2 linked regions of the Xenopus tropicalis genome follow. Each later gene encodes a partner of the first gene's protein in a complex. Links are inferred from orthologs where the notes say so. Each region holds a gene or a part of one and is shown in the gene's direction. Other genes may lie near its edges.

Evidence for each region.
Region 2: the proteins of eef1g (region 1) and eef1b2 are in contact, whole or in part, in a crystal structure (PDB 5DQS), measured with the Homo sapiens proteins. The link is inferred for Xenopus tropicalis from reciprocal best matches to the Homo sapiens genes EEF1G and EEF1B2. Residues at the interface, in NP_001395.1 of Homo sapiens: Leu146, Lys147, Thr148, Arg149, Thr150, Phe151, Glu155, Arg156, Pro185, Asn186, Arg189, Leu192, Thr193, Asn196, Gln197, Pro198; in NP_001032752.1 of Homo sapiens: Ala20, Asp21, Lys22, Ser23, Tyr24, Tyr28, Val29, Cys50, His51, Arg54, Asn57, His58, Ser61, Tyr62, Glu65.

Annotation. Positions count from the first base shown.
Region 1 is NC_030680.2:36,804,359-36,813,869, reverse strand, and holds the start of eef1g (elongation factor 1-gamma), read left to right. Parts: upstream 1-4,774; 5' UTR 4,775-4,780; coding exon of another isoform or gene 4,781-4,792; intron 4,793-5,625; coding exon of another isoform or gene 5,626-5,784; intron 5,785-5,939; coding exon of another isoform or gene 5,940-6,003; intron 6,004-7,180; 5' UTR 7,181-7,306; intron 7,307-7,826; coding exon of another isoform or gene 7,827-7,951; coding exon 7,952-7,969; intron 7,970-9,061; coding exon 9,062-9,205; intron 9,206-9,511. UniProt on the Homo sapiens protein: Probably plays a role in anchoring the complex to other cellular components.
Region 2 is NC_030685.2:50,701,336-50,710,846, forward strand, and holds eef1b2 (elongation factor 1-beta), read left to right. Parts: upstream 1-4,112; 5' UTR 4,113-4,158; coding exon 4,159-4,238; intron 4,239-4,802; coding exon 4,803-4,925; intron 4,926-6,044; coding exon 6,045-6,180; intron 6,181-6,699; coding exon 6,700-6,766; intron 6,767-7,379; coding exon 7,380-7,505; intron 7,506-7,774; coding exon 7,775-7,929; 3' UTR 7,930-7,993; downstream 7,994-9,511. Other genes in the region: ndufs1 (NADH-ubiquinone oxidoreductase 75 kDa subunit, mitochondrial), read right to left, coding at 267-358, 532-592. UniProt on the Homo sapiens protein: Catalytic subunit of the guanine nucleotide exchange factor (GEF) (eEF1B subcomplex) of the eukaryotic elongation factor 1 complex (eEF1).

The DNA of each region.
Region 1 (9,511 bases):
TTAATCTGTCCTTCAGTTGTACCTGCTTAACACTGACCCTTGACAAGTCAATACACATAGAGGTTATGTACATACTAGCGTGCCAAGAGCTACGGTGGCATATATTATAGGCTAGCTACTATTTCATCTACAGGCAAATTAGTTGCATGATAGATGCAAACATGGAAGTGGCTTCTACAGATGTGTAACATAGGGCATACCACCTACAGTGAAACTATCTGCCACATGGCTTTTATAATTGGCCAGATCTCGATCGGCCAGGTTAGAAAATCCAGTCGGATCGGGGACCGCATCGGCTCGTTGATGCGGTCCCCGAACCGACTGCCCCATAAGCTCAAATGTAATCCGATCGTTTGGCCCCAGGGCCAAACAATCTGATCATTTTTTTTTTTTTTAAGTCCCTTGCTACCCAATATCACCCACCCGTAGGTGGGGATATCGGGTAAAGATCCGCTCGCTTGGCGACATCGCCAAGCGAGCAGATCTTAGTGTATGGGTACCTTAAGGATGGAAGAAGAAAGTGCAAAGGTAAGGTGCATTGTGCAGTGTTTATATTTCCTTTTTCCTGCAGTGCTCAGCTAGTTAGTCAGCTCTGCAGCCAACCTCTGCAGAAAGTACCTCTTCTGTCTTTGACCATTACATAGGAATAAATTATCTAGGTATAGGATCTGCAAGGTAAGGGCTAAGAGGTATAGACAAAACTTTAGCAGTAACTATTATAGAAATGTTAATTTAATAATTTTAATTAGCTCTGTTCAATTACCCTTTACACATTCTGGAATGGGATTAGCATCACATTTTTCCACCAGGAGAAAACTAAAAGGAAGAGAGTTTGTATATTCCCATGCTTATATCCATAGCTTATTTGTTACAAACACCTGAGTGCACAATGGTTTACTCATGGGGGTTATTTATAAATACTGGGCAAATTTGCACCCAAGCAGTAACCCACTGGAAACCAATCAGATGTTTGCTTTAATTGTTCTACTTACCACTGCCTGGAAAAAAGCTAATTACTAATTGGTTGCTATGGGCTACTGCCCAGGTGCAAATTTGCGCAGTGTTTATAAATGAGCCCAACTCAGTGACTGTAAAAGAATGCACTTTGAGCTGACAAGCATCCTCAGCTTGCTAACAGAATCCGTGGGATGTTAAGAAGCCTGTACATTTGTCTCTATGTAAATAAAGCTTTATATGAAGCACGTTGGTTCCTTGAGATTTTTACATAAAGTAAATCATAAGCATAAGTTTCTAAACTGTTGTAATTCATGCAGTGAGCATGAAGGTTGTTTAATGAGCACAGAGGGAAAGACACCCCGTGGTTCCCTTTCTGCACACATCAACCTGCCTTTCTGGTCAGTTATTTTATTATGATATCTAATTGCTACTTATGGCTTGAGATCGAAGCATCATGTCAGATTATTATTTGTCTAAAGATATTGAGGAATTACAACTCCCATGAATGCCATGGTGGTGGGTTACATTTTTGAAGGGTGCTGGGGGTTGTGCTCAAAACATATATATATATATATATATATATATATATATATATATATATACATACATACATGATCTAGAGACGCTGACATTCTGAGACAGTTAGTAACTGGTCTTCATTGTTTTTTATTATTTATTTTTTAGTGGCTTTTCATTTATTTAGATTTTTGTTCATGAGCTCTCCAGATTGAAATTTCATCAGCTATCTAGTTTCTAGGGTCTTGTTTACCTTAGCAGTGCTTTAAATGAGAGACTGGAATATGACTAGAACAGGGACTAAACAGATAGCTAAGTAATAAAAGGTAACAATAATAATAAAATTGCAAGATCACAGAGCAATAGTTTGACTACTAGGGGTCAGAGATCCCTATTTGACAGCTGGAAAGATGTAAAAGTGGGAGGCAAATAATTAAAAAAAAAAAATAATGAAAACCAATTGCAACATTGCTAGGAATAGGACATTCTATAACACAGTAACATTTAACCTGAACCATGGACAGTGGCCAGAGAAAAAGAAGAGAAGCACCATCTATAGAACTGGATCAACAATAAGACAACAATGTTGAACCTGATGGACCCTGTGCCTTGATTTTAAACCTTATCTTCTTTAAAACATATACTTTATTATTTTTTAATTCTATGTTTTTGAATGATGAATATTTTTTGGTGAGAAATGAAATTGCATAAATGTGTTAAGGGGGCTCCATAAGACCATGTGCCAAACCTGAAAAAGCTATAATGCTTGCCACCCATAATGTCTCTTTCCCAGACGATAATTACTGCAATTATAATACCTACCATGATACATACACATAACCGCCACACCCAGTTAATTGCTCCCATTTCACCTTGACTAAGAGCAGCATTTGATCCAGTATCATGCTTTTAATATCTGGGAAGAAAGGTTAAGTTTTCATTGCACACTGGGTGCCATATATTTTCTGTATGGTGCCATAGCTGAGCCAATTTGCCATCAAAGGGAAGGGTGGCAGTCTTTGAGAGCTTCATCGCCATTATCTGCCCCATTACCTGCTGGCTGCAGGGTTTTTATTTCAAATGGCATTTGTTCTTTGCTTCAGAGGGATGGCTTTATTCTTGTGTTTCACTGTACACGGAAGGAAGGAAGTAACAGACCCAGCTAGACTGCACTGGCACTCCGATTGCAGATGAAATGCTGCATGTTGCCTCTCTTCTGCATTCTGGGCTGAGCCCTTAAAAGTGATTACTCATCACTACAGAGCACAACTGATCCCTACAGTGACTCTGCAGCTTGCTGATTTCCAACTAATTTACTGCATAATGCTTCCTTACTGGAAGTCTGCATACCCCCCCATGAGAACAACCTATTGGCCTAGGGACCATTAAGACAAGCTTGATTTGGTCACTTTATCATATATGCTGATTTGCCTCTGTATGCTCAGCATTAGATGTTATAAGATGTAAGCGGTCACTAAGGCATTCAATGACCATATCAATTAGGGGTACATTATGCGGTATAAGCAGGGCTGCCATCAGGGATAACAAACAGTACTAGTGTCTCAGGCTCCATCAAATCAGAGGGCCCCCGACTGCACCATTTACTGCTAATGGCATTGCTATTTTAAAATAAATATTTTAGAGGTTAGTATTGTGTACAGTAATGTGGTATTTTGTATTTTATACAGTGTAAATGGCACTAAATCATTTATGATTCCTTGACCCTGGTGTGCTTGCAGTCTAATTTCTTCCTCTCCTATTAAGAAAATAGGGTTAATTCTATAAGGAGGGAGAGGGGGTACTGTTGTACCGGGCCCAGTAAAATCTCCAGAAGGGGGGGCTGGCCTCATCACAAAAGTTGCTTTAGAACTTACATAATTTACATGTCTTCCACAAAAACTGGCTAGAAACAGGGTAATGCCACACGGGGCTGATTTTTAAGTGGATGGTCTGATTCTCAGAAACTGTTTTTCTGCTTTCCAAGAATCGGCCCCTCTGCTCCAAGCAGTTTCAGGCAGAAATATCATGCGTGTGCCTGCACCCAGGCGGATTCAGTGCTTCCGGGTGCAGGCACAACTGAAAGATTTTTAGATTCAAGAATCAGCTGTATGGAAATACCCTAACCTAACTTGCATATCCCAATATGACCCCCCCAATAGATCAAAAAAGTCAAGGTAAATGTTACTGTCCCCAGTGAATTGACTCATTATTACATTACTACTCATATTACATTAGCACATTAATTACTCATTTTAACTATTTATTAAAGAGTAATGTCGGCTGTTTATATTGAAAACTATTAACAGATGGATTTGTGCACTCCTGCATGAACTTTACAGCAGAGGAATGACTGGTTATTGGGCCCCACAGCAACATCATTGGGCCACTACACTTATGCAATTTATGTAACTTTTGCAAAAACTTAAGTTACTTTAAAAGAAAGTACAATTCTTACAATTAGCCTACAGCTAAGATTAATATAAAACTACAATACCCAGCATGCAATTATAGACAGAAGCTCCCTTTTCTATTCCTCTTTGCTGAACCTGAACCAGCAAAACTACTATAACCTGCATGGACTGGGCACAGGGGGCTGGGAAACATCAGCCATCCCAGTAACTGGAGAGAGGGCACAGGGCATGGGTAGTAATTATACACTACAAAAAAAGCATTTTCCCATATATACTTTTATTTTTTAGAATTTGTTTTCATTTTGTATATTGGGCTATTTTTGGGCTACTTTCGAAGTGGCTTTTGGCTAGTTTTGGGCTGGTTTGGAAAAATAAATCTGGCAACACTGGTTTTGTTCTATGTTTTGCTCAGAACCCAATTAAGTGTCTAATAAACCTTACTTTTCTACCCCAAATGACCTTTGACAGGTCATTTTAACAGACTTTTCAATAACACCTATAATACATATTTCAGGCAGCCACATATGTTAGTTCTATCTATGGTCCTGACTAAATGTATTATCCCTTAGCAGCTGGCTCCTACATTGCAAGGAAATCCCTCTATGCTGTTCTGGAAGGTTCTGCCAGGGAAGTGAATCCCTCTCACTCTCAGCTTATTAAACTCACTATCACAGCTTAACTCCATAGAATCCTTTTTTTGGGGTAGGGTTTTCTGACAGAAACCCTTTGTATCTCCCATACTGCCACATATCACCTGCCTGTACGTCCCGAAAGCGTCACGTTACGCTCCCGTCGCTTACACTCCTCTATTTTACGACAGCCCGTAGTCTGTTTTCGGCACCTATATTACGTCGGAGAGCTGGAACTGCGGCTCCTCCCTTTCTACTCGCGTGAAGATGGCCGGCGGGGTAAGTAATGAATAGGTCCCAGAAAATCCATCCACATCCGACAGCTTATGATATATCCGGGCCGTAGTGTGGGTCACTGGGATATGGGGTGCGCTCTGCTATCCGGGTCACCTTTCATCTCCCGGTTTGGTGCTGGTAGTATGGGGTAAAGTTAGTGGGAATAGTGCCCGGCTTTACCCGGAACTAAGGGGAGCGGTACAAAGAGAGGGCAATACGGCGCTGCCCCGGTAACTGCCCCTAGTCACGTGTCCCTGCCTGCTCCTTCCACACGCGTTTCTCTCCCGCTCTGTGCGCCATTTGTACGGCTGTAATACCGGCTGCTGTGTGACAGCGGCTCTATACAGTGACATGTGACAGATGCACAGTATTCTCTATAGAGAACTTCCAACGCATGGGAAGGCTTTTGAGCTGCCATGCAGTGTTGTAGCTAATACATGTTAGTAGTGTGGCGTAAAGTGGTGAGGTGGCAACCCTGGTTTTATTTGCTGCTGCCATAAGAGTATAAAGACAAGAAGTAGCTGCTTGAGTTAAAGATTTTAGGCTTACATTCTGTTGTCTGCCAAGGCTTAGCTTTACCCAGTAGGAGACTTCACATAAGAATAGTGATATGGCATGTAGTAAGATATGTGCTGCTTTCCAGGGCCTTGGGTGTACATTAGAATGTGTTAGATATATAAAGGAAAATGTTTCCTTCAGCAACCCTAAATATGGTACATGGAATTGTATATGGTGCCTGGTGGTGCAAAGTCCCATATGATTGGGGATAATCATTTTGTACAATATTTGCTTGCCTCAGTGTGTATAATGTATAACTGTGTGTATTCTCTCTGCAGACTCTGTACACATACCCTGATAACTGGAGGGCATACAAGCCCCTCATTGCTGCTCAGTATTCGGGGTTCCCCATCAAGGTTGCCTCCTCTCCTCCAGAATTCCAGTTTGGAGTAACGAATAAGACATCCGAGTTCCTAAAGAAATTCCCCTTAGGCAAGGTAATGCATTTGCTTCCATAGTCCCTCAACTTCAACCCCTCCAGATAATCTGCAATGTGTGTACAGTATGTATATATTCATACTGTAGCCCTGGATGTAATGAACTTTTTAAGGTAATATTATTGTCCTTAATCAAACTCTTTCTGGACTTTTAGGTACCAGCATTTGAGGGCAACGACGGTTTTTGCCTTTTTGAGAGCAGCGCCATTGCTCATTATGGTGAGACAATCATTTTATCTCTTGTTATCATTTTATCTTCAGCAGGTTAGCCTTTATAGAATCAGACCTAGCAATTACTCTCTGGCCCTTAGGGAAAGAACCCACCTGTGATAGTAACTGCTCCGAAAAGGCTTTCCATCGGCAACAGTAGAAGTCATGGGTGAAAAGGCCTTCGGTTTCCAAAGTTGCGTGAAGTTGCCTGCAGGAGAAAAGCCTTTTCAGAGCGTTTACTCGCCCATGATAGCAGCGGTCTGTTGTGGGTGAGTAACTCGCTATGTGGGTTCTTACCCTAAGAAGCTAATTTGGAGGTTGTTGCTGTAACTAGTATACAGCAGACCCCACAGCCACAGGGGAGGTATAATGGTCTCAAGGTCTGCTGCTGGGCCAGACTGGGATTCAAAATAGGCCTCAACATTTCAAGTACACAGAGGCCAAACCCCCAGCCCAGTGGCATCTTACAGCAGCCCCTTTCGCATTTTACAGAATATACAGATTGCCAGTCCAGGCTTGGTCTGCTGTATGGTTCTCCCTCCTTATTTCCAATGTTTGCTCTTCTGCTCTCTGCAAATAAATGAATGGGGAAAGGGGTACAGAGGAGGAGGGAGTGCATGCATTTAAAATTGCAACTGGGCCCAGGTGCTGCTTAGTTATGTCACTGTTTGGATGGTCCTAAAATAACCCAAAAATTGTGCACCTACCATTTCTGCTCTCGTTCTGGCCATTTTCTCTTCTTAAAAATCTATTTATTTAGATCAATCCATGGAATCCCCAGCCCAGGCCCAGGTTCAGTCACATATCCTGCCTGCTGGCCTCCTGGTGGGAAACTGCCCAGAAATAGTGATTTTACATAAAAACATTTCAGTAAAGATGTTTCCACATATTTCGGACAAATACAGATTTTCTGTACTCGCCAATATCGATCAACCCTGCTGGCATGTCCCATTATAGGTTGAGAACCTTGGGAAGTGTTCTATCTTTGGAGATGGCCACTTATAGTTCTGCTGCTTGCACTCCCTACACTAAGGTGGAATTATAAACATAAGCAGTATTCCTGTGAAAGGTTATTAAAAAAAAAAAAAACTTATGGATAGCTGGCCATTCAAACAGCAGCTGCAAAGCTGAAATCATAAAATAGCAACCTGGCAAATTATACCTTAATCTCTTCATATTTTTATAGGCATTCCTTGTGGCGGAATGCATAGAATTGCACTACAAGACAAATGCTGACTTGGAGTCTCAGATTTAAATTGGAGAGCATGTGAGCTCTGAGATGAGCTGTGAATCTTTATCATTCTACATCAAGGTTATCCATTTCTTTTTGTCCCTCTTTCTGTGTGTCTCGGGCTCCTGCAGACTGGGTATAATGAAAGTCCACTCTTAGGGTGAAGACACACTGGGCTACTAGTAGCAGCTACTTTTTTTTTATGACTACTAAACTCCAGAAAATACCCTGCCATAGACAATACTGAGAATTGCCTCTGCTAAAACACATGTAGAGGCAATTATCTGTAAATGATCAGCATTCTCTTTTTTAGTAGTCACGGCAAGTAGCTGCTACTAGTAGCTCTGTGTGTTCTCACCCTAAAGCTGGCCATACATGCACCGATAATATCGTATGAAACCTCGTTGAAATCCTATTGTTTCTTCCTCCACATCTGCCATTTCACCCCTGAATGTTAGTGGCGGATTGGAACGATCGCACAAAAGATCAAAAATCGCCACGTGTGTGGCCACCTTTAGACTTGTCACATATGTCTCATACTTTCTCTGACTTGGTGTTAATAGGAAACCTAATTCTCACCTCTCACATATTTCTCTGACAGTGGGCAATGATGAGCTCCGAGGAACCAATCGTTTACACCAAGCTCAGGTCATCCAGTGGGTCAGCTTCTCAGACAGTCACATTGTCCCTCCGGCCAGCGCATGGGTCTTTCCCACTCTGGGGATCATGCAATACAATAAGCAGGTAAGAAGGGTTCATTATTCTGCTTTATTTTCTTTGGTTAACTACACACTGCTGCGTGCTTATCTGCTAAATTATTTATTCATCTAACAATGGCCTTTCCTTTTCTACTTTGTGCTGCGTCGAGATGAATTATGAAATACTTTGCTTTACAAATACTTCAAGCACCCATAATGTTTGGGGTCAGTAGGACCCTTTAGGGTGACCAGATTGCTTGAAAATTCAGGGACGTGTAATGAAGAGAAAAAATAAATCCAGCTAGCAGGGCTGAACTGATTTGAAATACAATTCCTGCGACATGTACTAGATGTGTCCTTGAATTTTCAAGTGATTGGGTCACCCTACTTTTTGCCGCAGCCATAGCTTTAGATGAAGTAAACACGAGGCAGTTGTCAGAGATGGATGAACTGCCTGATCCAAGATCGATATGGGTTTAACAAGATTTAACTGTTTTAAATTGAAAGATTACCTTAAAAAGTGTGTGTATATCTCTGCCCCACCCTTATTTAGTGAATGTTATGGTTATATGTATCTTTCGGTTTATTGAATGGTGTGAAGTGATCTGTGCAGTTAGCTGGAAAATAGCAGCTTGCTTAAGGGCTGTGACACACGGGTAGATAAGTCACGGGTGACAAAACTCCCCAAAATGCCATCCCACCGGCTAGAATGTAAATCGTCGGTGGGATGGCATATGCGGCGGTGTGATTTGCGGAAGTTGCCAGAGTTTCCTCTCAAGGCGACTTCTGCGAATCACGCTTGATGCTTATGCCATCCCACCGGCGATTTACATTCTAGCCGGTGGGATGGCATTTTGGGGAGGTTTTCTGTGCAGCGACTAATCTCTCTGTGTCACAACCCTAACTAATTCCCCCTGGTTGGCATAATGGCGGATTCTAGTCTTCCTGGCTACTTTTTAGTACACGACTGTTTGTTATCTCAACAACCCTCTTGGATAGGGTTTTTTTTGTTAGAAGGTAGTAAGCCTCAGAAGCAAAAATAATTGAAGATTGAAGAAAATAATAGACCATTTTACCTCAATTTCTGTCCTTTTAAAACTGGCCATTTGGGATTATGGCTCTTTCTGTATATTTCTAGGCCACAGAACAAGCCAAGGAGGAGATAAAGGCTGTGCTGGGTGTTTTAGATTCTCATCTGAAGACACGGACATTCCTAGTGGGCGAGAGGGTCACGCTGGCTGATATAGCAGTTACTTGCTCTCTTCTGTGGCTCTATAAGCAGGTCTGACACTTTAATTTTTATCTGTTTCTCCTTTGTCTTTTATTCCTCCTAACTGTATTCCTGTTGTGAATTTGTAGCCTCCTTTAGCCATATACTTCACTATATTACTGTTTATAATAAAGATCCATTATACCTGTTCTGGTATACCAGTTCTTCATCATTTATTGGATTTCCCACACTCAGAATACATAAACACTGAAGTTTTTTTTTTTTTAATTTTTTTTCTATTCTAACTTTCTGTATAATAATCCTCGCCATTTACCCCATTTCATGTATCTACATCCCCATATTTTCACACTCATTTCT
Region 2 (9,511 bases), on another chromosome or scaffold:
AGATTTTCCTGCCACAGGGTAGAGTATATGTTGCTGCAACAAAACACGTGCCCACAACTTTTTAAAAAGTCGCCGCATGTGTCTTCACCCTGACAGAAGAACCCTTTTCTAGCCTTCTTCTAATTCAACTAGATAATTAAAAATAAAGTTCAGTATAAATTATTGGAAGTATTTTAGGATTTAAGTGGAATCTTCAAGAAGTGTAGTAAAATGTTACAGCCACAGATAAAAAAAAAAAACAAAACAAAAAAAAAAAAAAAACCTACTTGTAGCACAGTAGTGCCTGGTTCAACCATCACTGGTTTTCCATCAACAAACACCTCAACCAAATTGCTGGCAGCAGTTGCAGTTGTCCGTACTGAGAGAAAAAAAAAATATTTTTTTTTTTAGAAAAGTTTACAATAGGAAAACTAAAGTTTGGTGTGATAAGGCCTTATAAGTACAAGCAAGTGATAAATAACTAAGAAAGGGGCATACATCAAAAAAGCTGAAACTGTAAATGGTCACAGAACACAAAAATAGAAAACTTACCATTATTCTTAGAGTTTTGGGTGGCACTTGCCAGTACCCTGCGAACTACAGGCCTCAGCATTTTGCTACAAATCAAAAGAAAAGGTTAGCCTGGCACATTTTGAGGCTGTCTGAAGATTAGAAAATGCAATAATTCAACACATAATATTTGCGAAAAAGTATGCATTTTTAACTTATTAAATAGGAGAAGCCACCAAATGCATTATTTTTTCTTTCATAGAATAAAAGGTTAAATAACCAATTCAATCCTTAATAAATGCTTGTGGTAGTTCCTGAACCAGATTGCTTAACCTTTTTATTGTGAGAACATCTTATAAAAATAGCATTTGTATAACAAACAGATTGTCCTTGAATGTAAGTAAGGGCCAAAAGCTGTGCACGGAATAGTTTAGACCCCTGACAAATGTTACCACCCCAGCCTGTAAAAACGATGCCTGATACCATGGTTATTAATGGGGGGGGGGGGGGGGGGGGGGGGTAGAATATAGAATCCTCTGTGAATGCATTGCTAGTTAAAATGTTCTATTATTCTATTATTCAGACTCTTTGAGTTATGTTATAAAGGGTGCAATTAGTTTATTATAGGTCTAATCACCTATCTTAAAGGAGAAGTATACTCCCGGGCTCAAAAAGCACCCATAACTATCACTATCTAGACCCCCCTCACCTCTCCCTTATTGTATTGTTTTTAAGTTTAATGACTGTCCCTATCTCTTATAGCTAGCTAATAATCCAGAGGAGCGCAGCCCCCTACCTGTCCGACATTTTCTTACTGACTAAAGACACTTCTGGTCTCACCGCCGTCACCTAACCTGCTTGTGCACGTGCAGTTGAAGCGGATTTCCTACCTCCAACTGCGCATGCACAAGCAGGTTTATATCGGCAGAGCGACCAGAAGTGTCTTCAGTTGGAAATAAGATGTCGGCGATGTATGTGGCTGCGCTTCTCTGCATTTTTAGTTAGCGGTTAGAGATAGGGACAGACATTAAACAATAAGGAAGAAGTGAGGGGGGTCTAGGCAGTGATAGTTATGGGTGCTTTTTGTGCCTGGGGGTATAGTCCTCCTTTAAGCAATACGGAGGCATGTACAGGTCAAACATCTTATTGACTGCTACAGGTTACTGCTAGTAATGTGTGGGTTGACAGCCTCTCCAAAACTAGATTTTTATGGTGTACTTTTTATTTCTAAATGACACTGCGTAAATTGGTACATTGAAAAGGAATCTACGATTTAAAATGTTATTCTTAAACAATAAATAATATTTGGTGTATTTTTTTAAGTTTCAATATTGACGTGTAGGCAGTCATTTCAGAGCATTGTGCTAGATCCTGTGCTTTTAGAAAGTGCCAGCACTTCAGAATGCAACTGCTTTTAGATTAGCGATTTTTTTCTCCTACTCAGGACTTCAGTTTTAAACTATTAAGTGCTACGCTCATATCTACCAGGTGTCAGGGAGCTGTTATCTTGTTACCTTCCCATTATTTTGCTTTTATGCTGCTGTAAGGGATAGGTATGGGGTGACCACTCCAACTTGCACTGCCACTATAAAGAGTGACTGAAGTCTATCAGAGAACAAGTCACATGGTTGTGGGCACCTGGGAAACTAAGAAGATGTCTAGCCCACATCATATTTAAATTAAATATGAAAAAAAAATATATGTTTGCTCTTTTGAAAACTGGGTTTCAATACAGGATTTTGTTGTATGAGAGCTATATTTACAGATACACCTGTCACCCTGAAATTGTTTCCCCCACCAGTGGTGCAGGCTAATGGAGCCTGCACTCCAGTTGGGGGAAACAATAGTTTAAAAAAAAATAATAATAAATAGCCCCCACCAGCACTAGGCTGCCTGCACCAGTAGGAAGCTTTTGGTGTGGGTGGCTATGTTGGGGCACATGCAAAAGGATGAGCGAGAGCAACATCTCGCTCATTATGCACAGGTATGTGACATAAATTGCAATTCGCAATTAATGTCAGATGATAATGAGCATGTGAGGAGACTGGCTTTTTATGCACGCTATAGAACAGTGATCCCAACCAGTGGTTCATAAGAAACATGTTGCTCCCAGGGTCCTCAAAGTAAGAGCTTATTTTTGCATTTCTGGCTTGGAGGTAGGTTTTGGTTGCATAAAACCCAGTGTAAAGCCAAACAGAGCCTTCTATAGGCTGCCAATCCATATAGGGTGCAACCAAACAGCCAATTATAGCTCTTGTTTGCACCCCCAGGAACTTTTTCCATACTTGTGTTGCTCCCCAACACTTTTTCCATTTGAATGTGACTCATGGGTATAAAAGGTTGGGGATGCCTGCTATAGAACATGACAGCCTTCACCAAAAGCTCTCTCCCAGTGTGTGTGGGCTAGTGCGGCTGACACACACCAAAAAATTGTTTTTCCCAAACAGAATGCTGGCTCTATTAGCTTGCAACTGTCCTTGGGGAAACATTTTTCAGGGTGACAGGGTGCCCTTCAAGGTATGGTGTTCCAAATTCCAGACAGATCCCTTATCGGGAAAACCCCAGGTTCCAAGCATTCTGGATAACAGGTCCCATACCTGTATTATACTTTATCCCACCCCACAAAAAAAAAAAAAAAAAAATCTGCCATAGCCATTGAGCCACAAGCCAGGTCATAAAAACTAATTTTAATCAATATTACAATATTCCCTATTTGCTGAGTAACGACTTAACCAGCGCAACCAATTGCATGTGTAATTTTCGCGCAATGTGCAATAACTAAGAGGTTAGAGGATGTGCAAGGAGAGAAGCGCATTACTGAATCCCAGCAGAGCTCTGAGTAAAGACGCGCACCCATGCACAGACTATGGAACGCTGTAGCCCGCGGGTTTGCTAGTATAGGAAGGGATGGAGTCTGGAAATCTTTAGCGAATAATAGAAGAGTCCAAGTCCTACCGAACTAAACTACATCTGTCAAGGGCACAAGAGTGACCTACTACCTTGCTAGACACACAGCCAACACCATTACACCGTAACGCAGGGTTACCGCATCGGTTATGCAAAACATTACAAAGAATTGCCATTTCCAAACCACTCACCCCACCGACTCCCCTAAACAGCTCTGGGAATATTTGGCCTTCTAGACCAGAACAGCCCTGGCCGGCACCCTTGACCAATATGGCGGATTTAAGCAACCTCCGGAACAAGCCACGGAAGATGGTAAGAATTATACGTAACTGAGAAAGCTTCGGTAACTTCCGCACAGGCAAAGACTAGAGATCGACAAAGTCCGGCAAAAATGACGAACGAGACTCGGAGAAACTTCGTTTCCGAAATGTTGCGAACGCAACATCGTTAGTCTTCGGCACAGGCAGTTTCCGGATCGACTTAACATCGGCTATCTCCGTGATAAGCGGCAACACATGCAATCCCAAATATTTCTGCAGTCGGAAAACGAAGATATGGTCTCCAGTAAGTAATACTTTGCCGAAAGGGTGCGGATAAAAAAAAATATAAACTTGAAATGATGTACATGTTACATAGTGAGTCTTTAAGGAAGGCTTAGCCCGCCCCTCGTAGCCCCGCCCCCTGTCTATAAAAGGCATCTACCCGGCCTGCAAGTTCTTTTCTTTACCCGTGTGTGCTAGGCTTCTTGAGTGAATTGCTGTAATGGGTTTCGGCGATCTCAAATCCCCTGCAGGCCTTAAGGTCCTGAATGAGTTCCTGGCCGACAAGAGCTACATCGAGGGGTCAGTGTGGTAAATGCTATATTATAGTTGTGCTAATGTTCGAAAGGACAAGGAATGTGTAATATGAATGAACGTGTTGGCTTCCAACGCGTGGTCCTAGGCCGCAACCTCCTGCTGCCTGACTCCTGAATTCTTTTAGCTGCAGTGCCGTAAACGTGTCACAAAATCCCAAGTGATGTAATATGTAAAGGCTGCCTGGTTAATTGTGCCTTGTGCTTTAGTTATGTATTCTTTCTAATGTTAATAATTAAGTGTTTCTTGGAATCATTTGTAAATGTAATTTGTATTAAAAGCAGAATAGGTCTGGATTTCTACACTTTCGGCACTGCTGGCTACGACTGCTGAGCCGATGTAGCAGAAGCCAGCTGCTTAAACTGCACTATGTCAGAGAACGGAAAATTATATAAACTGTTCAGTGTAACTAAATGTGCAAATAGCCTTAAAACTTGGATAATGTTTATAGGAAACAAATGTTTGGACACTATTTATACAGTTTTTTCTACTGTACTATATTATGTTTAGTGGTTATGCTGCTAATTGTATATTTACCCCCACCCTTTTCAGATATGTCCCTTCCCAGGCTGATGTTGCAGTATTTGATGCCCTCTCTGGTGCGCCCCCTGCTGACCTTTTCCATGCTCTGCGTTGGTACAACCACATCAAGTCTTATGAAAAGCAGAAAAGTAGGTAAGCAGTATGATAAAGTATAGCTATTGCTTTCACAGCAGTGATTGATAAAGGAGCATGGTTGAAAAAATATGATACTGTGCTGAATACAATATTCTTTGTTTTAGGTTGAGCTGTTCTACAGCACTTTGAAGCACGTTCACTACTATACTTATCTAATCTGAATCAGATTTTTTTTTTTTTTAATTCGGTTTATTGGTTAACATCCAGCTGAAAAATCACTGCCTATGGCTGTAGTGCTCATGCAGCCAGAAAGTGGCTGCAACATACATAAGCTTTGATAGTACTGTTGGCCTGCTGTAGAATGTAAATGGGCACAATTCTAATTAACATGGATCATGAATGTGTATCATTTTTGTGGTCTATGAAGTATTTTAAAGGAGTTGTTCACCCTTATGTTAAATTTTAGTATACTGTACAATTTTGAGACAACTTTTTTTTTTTTTTTATTTTGGTGTTTGAATGATTGTTTTTTTGTTAAACCGCTGTCCAGTTTCACATATCTGGTTGCTAGGGTCCAATTTAACCTAGGCAACTAGCCAGTAGTTTGAAAGATGGAAAATTCAATATAGGAGGCCCTAAATAGAAAGATAAGTACAAAAAAAAACAGCTTCACAGAGCAACAGATTTTTGGATTCTGAGGTCAGTGACCACCCCCCCTCATTTGAAATCTGGAAAGAGTCTGAAGAAAAAAGGCAAAAAAACTATACACCATAAAAATGAAAACCAACTGAAAAGTTGCTAAGAATAGGCTGTTCTATAACATACTAAATGTTAACCTGAAGTGTTCTCTTTGACAGTAGGACAGAATTGCATTCTCTTGGCTTAATTGATGCTAGCTGAGCACACAGAATGCCCAGTCAGACATGCAGAGGAGCCTCGTCAAATAGTAGCGTGGCTACCCATATTTGGGCCAGCTTGCAGTCATTTGCAGTTAAGATGTCAGTATTGTAATTTGTTCTCTATTGTAATTTGTTCTCTAAAGTTGTATGTAATTCTAGATAACTGTATATTCCTTGTGACTCACCTCTAAGCAGCTGCTAATGCAAATAGCCTAGAAGTATATTTCTCCTTTGTAAAGTAGTTTTTTTTTTTTTTTTTTTTTTTTTTTTTTCCTAGCCTGCCTGGTGTGAAGAAGCCTCTGGGAAACTATGGCCCTGTTAACATAGAAGATACTACAGGCAGTACAGCAAAAGATACCAAGGAAGAGGATGATGATGATGACATTGACTTGTTTGGTTCAGATGATGAAGAGGTGGGATGTGTAACAATCTTTAGATGTAATAAAATTAGACCTAAGAAGCATAAGGTGCAGAATAAATTACACTGGCTGTACAGCTGTGTCCATAATTTTTTTTTTTTTTTTTTTAACATGCTGTTCTACAGACTGAAATGTAAAGAGAGTTTGCTGTGTTTCATGTAGTCTCCTTGTGGACAATGAACGTAGCAAAAATGCGTGCATGCTTTAATTGTGCTCCACTGTAACCACAAATTCATTATATTACATGCCCAAGGCACACTACTATGGCCACATACCTGAAGCAGTGTTTGCTGTTGGTTACTAAGGTTCTAAACATGTGAAGGGAGTTGTGTAAAACACAAATTTGGCTGTACTATATTCAGGCTGGTCATGTGATGAATGAGCTAAATCACCATCTTTCGGCTGATTTGTGATGCATATTGTCTTCTAAACTGACTACACCAGCCTGTTAACTTAAAAAAACAAAAAAAAAACTTGCTATTGTGCAGAATCTTAAGTTTTTCTATTTCATAGGAAAATGAAGAATCAAAGAGGGTCCGCGAAGAACGCTTAGCACAGTATGAAGCAAAGAAGTCTAAAAGTAAGTGGCCTTCTCCCGAGTGTTTATTCTCCTTAAGGCATATGTTTTTAATTGTTTTGCCTTAAGAAAAGCAAAGTGCAATCACTACCTGTTTACATACTGGTCTTCAGTTCCTTTTTTTTTTTTTTTTTTTGTGGAATGGAAATACTTGCCACAGATACTGGTCTGGAGCTGTATTACTATGTGGCAGTTCCAGCATTCCTCCTGTGGCACATTAAAATGTTTTGCAGCTTTATTTCCTCTCAGTCTGGGAGGACTTGGCTGTATTTCAAACATGGTTCTGTTTTATTCTGTACCACTGTCTACAAACTATATGGTGTAAACCTTAGTGTAAAAAATGCCATATAGTATTGTTATAGTATGTTCAGCAAGGCAGTGGCTATGGTTTGTGACTTAGAAAGGTGTAACACTTGACTTTCCCACTAGAATTTTACTTGTGCTTTTATTTTGTGGGATTTTGGGGTAGTCTGAATGTGTGGCTTAAGGCTGTTAGAATGTGTATTCAGTTTATATATTACTAGTCCTTTACTTGCGGACATAATCTAATTTACACTTCTTCACAATCTTCAAATTCTCCAAAGGTGATTAAATCTTAACCAATTTGTTTCTTTAGAACCAGCACTTATTGCCAAATCATCCATTCTTCTTGATGTGAAGCCATGGGATGATGAAACGGATATGGCCAAGCTAGAAGAGTGTGTCAGAAGTATACAGATGGAAGGCTTGGTGTGGGGAGCATGTAAGTTTATATTTTGTAGGTAGTCTAAAGAATATCTTCACCTTAACTGTAATGATGATTAAAATATCACCATCTTTCGACTGATGCTAATGATGGATGTATTTTTATTCTGACTGCCTTTTATTTAAACACTGTAAAGGTATGTGTTTACTGAATGTACAAGTCTTTACATTCTGACAATATGTAGCAAGTAGACTTGATTTAAAATGCACATTTAATGGCTTTATCAACCGTCATCTGTTATCTCAATTGTTCTATTCCTTCTGCAGCAAAGCTTGTTCCTGTTGGATATGGCATTAAAAAGCTGCAGATCCAGTGTGTGGTTGAAGATGACAAAGTTGGCACAGATGTTTTAGAGGAGAACATCACTGCATTTGAAGACTTTGTGCAATCCATGGATGTTGCTGCTTTCAACAAGATCTAAACTGATTTCATGAAGCCCCCATACTTTTACAGCACTTCAAATAAAAACATTTGCTTAATGTGAAGTTGGTGTTCACTTTGTATTGTGGCTGCTTTCCTTGCAACAAAGTTGCACGCATTCAATCTATCTTGCCTCTGTAGGATTAAAGTATGCCAAATAGGCATCAATGTGTTTCAATCCACTGTGGATGGTTGTCTGGATGTAGAAGATGATCTCTAATGGGTCATAACTTGGTGTCCATTGTTGCTCTGAAGTCCACAAAAGCACTCTTGGCTAATTGTAACAAGTTTTTGACTTGTGGTATGCATGTGGAAACTTAGTTTTTATTTAAGGGCATGTCAACCCCAAACATTTTTACCAAAAAAAAAAACCTTGTTCTAAGCAACTTTCCAATATGCATTTATTAAATTAGTGCTTTTAATAGTTAATCTGTAAATCAAATTGCTATAGAAAGCAGCATTTGCTGAACTCCTGGTTGTTACTACTTAAACAATGTTGCCAGACCCCTCAAACAAGGCAGGTCTGTAAAATCTGCTTGTGTTACACTGTTTCAGGTGCCAGAGCCACCAGGGCAGAGAATAGGACAGGCAGACACTGCTGGATCTTGTAGCCTTCTAACCCAGGTTACAGCCAGACAGGAGGGGGTTGGGAGCCACCAGTTGGACAGCACTGTCTTAGCCAATAAAGGTATCACCTTTTATACCACTTTTGTTATTGTTTATTTCAAAAGGGTTGCCCTGTAACATTTACATCCCTATGTTGTCTCAGTGATTATATTACATTTTTGGCACATTTTTAGCCATTTTATTCAATTTTCAATTCTGCAAAGATGTTGGTTTGTTTCTGTCTGTAAAATTTATTTGGCTAAGCTAAAATATTCAAACTACTGATTTTAATTATTTTTTTGCATTCTCCATTGTTCTTTGGTACTTGTTTGTGCCCTTGGAAATTTTGTCTGTTATTTATCTATTTTGGGTGCCTCTGCATGCCAAACATAAGAACATATATGCATATTGGCATCAAACTGTAAGTAGTTCATATGGTGTTCATATTTAGAATGTTTGATGTTGGTAGGTTACAACTTGTGGGGCATATAATAGGGTAAAATGCAAGCTTTGTGATTTTCAGGAATTTTATGAAAACTGCTGCATTTAGCATAGTTTTGCTGTTTGGTAGTTTGTAGTAGAAAGAAGTATTTAACCATTTTGGTTTTATCAGAATGTGTACTATCAGAAAATATATGGTTTTCTAGGGTCTCCATACCGTTAGGGGGTCTTATGGCACATAATACTCATACCAGGTGCTTTTATGGCAGCAGCCAGAATGTCAGACATGAAAATTGATATGCACTATTTGTATTTGGTCTCTGTATGTCACATAGCTTGGTAGATGTATGCATAAATTGTTCAGCAGATCCCTGGTGTTTATATTTAGGACTTTTTTGTTGGTACGTTATGTGATGTGGGCTATATAATTAGTTAAAAAGCAAGCTTTGTAACAGCTGTTAGACATTTCATAAAAACCGCTATGGTTAGCAAAACATTGTAGTTTGTAGTAGAAAGACATATATGCCCATTTTGGT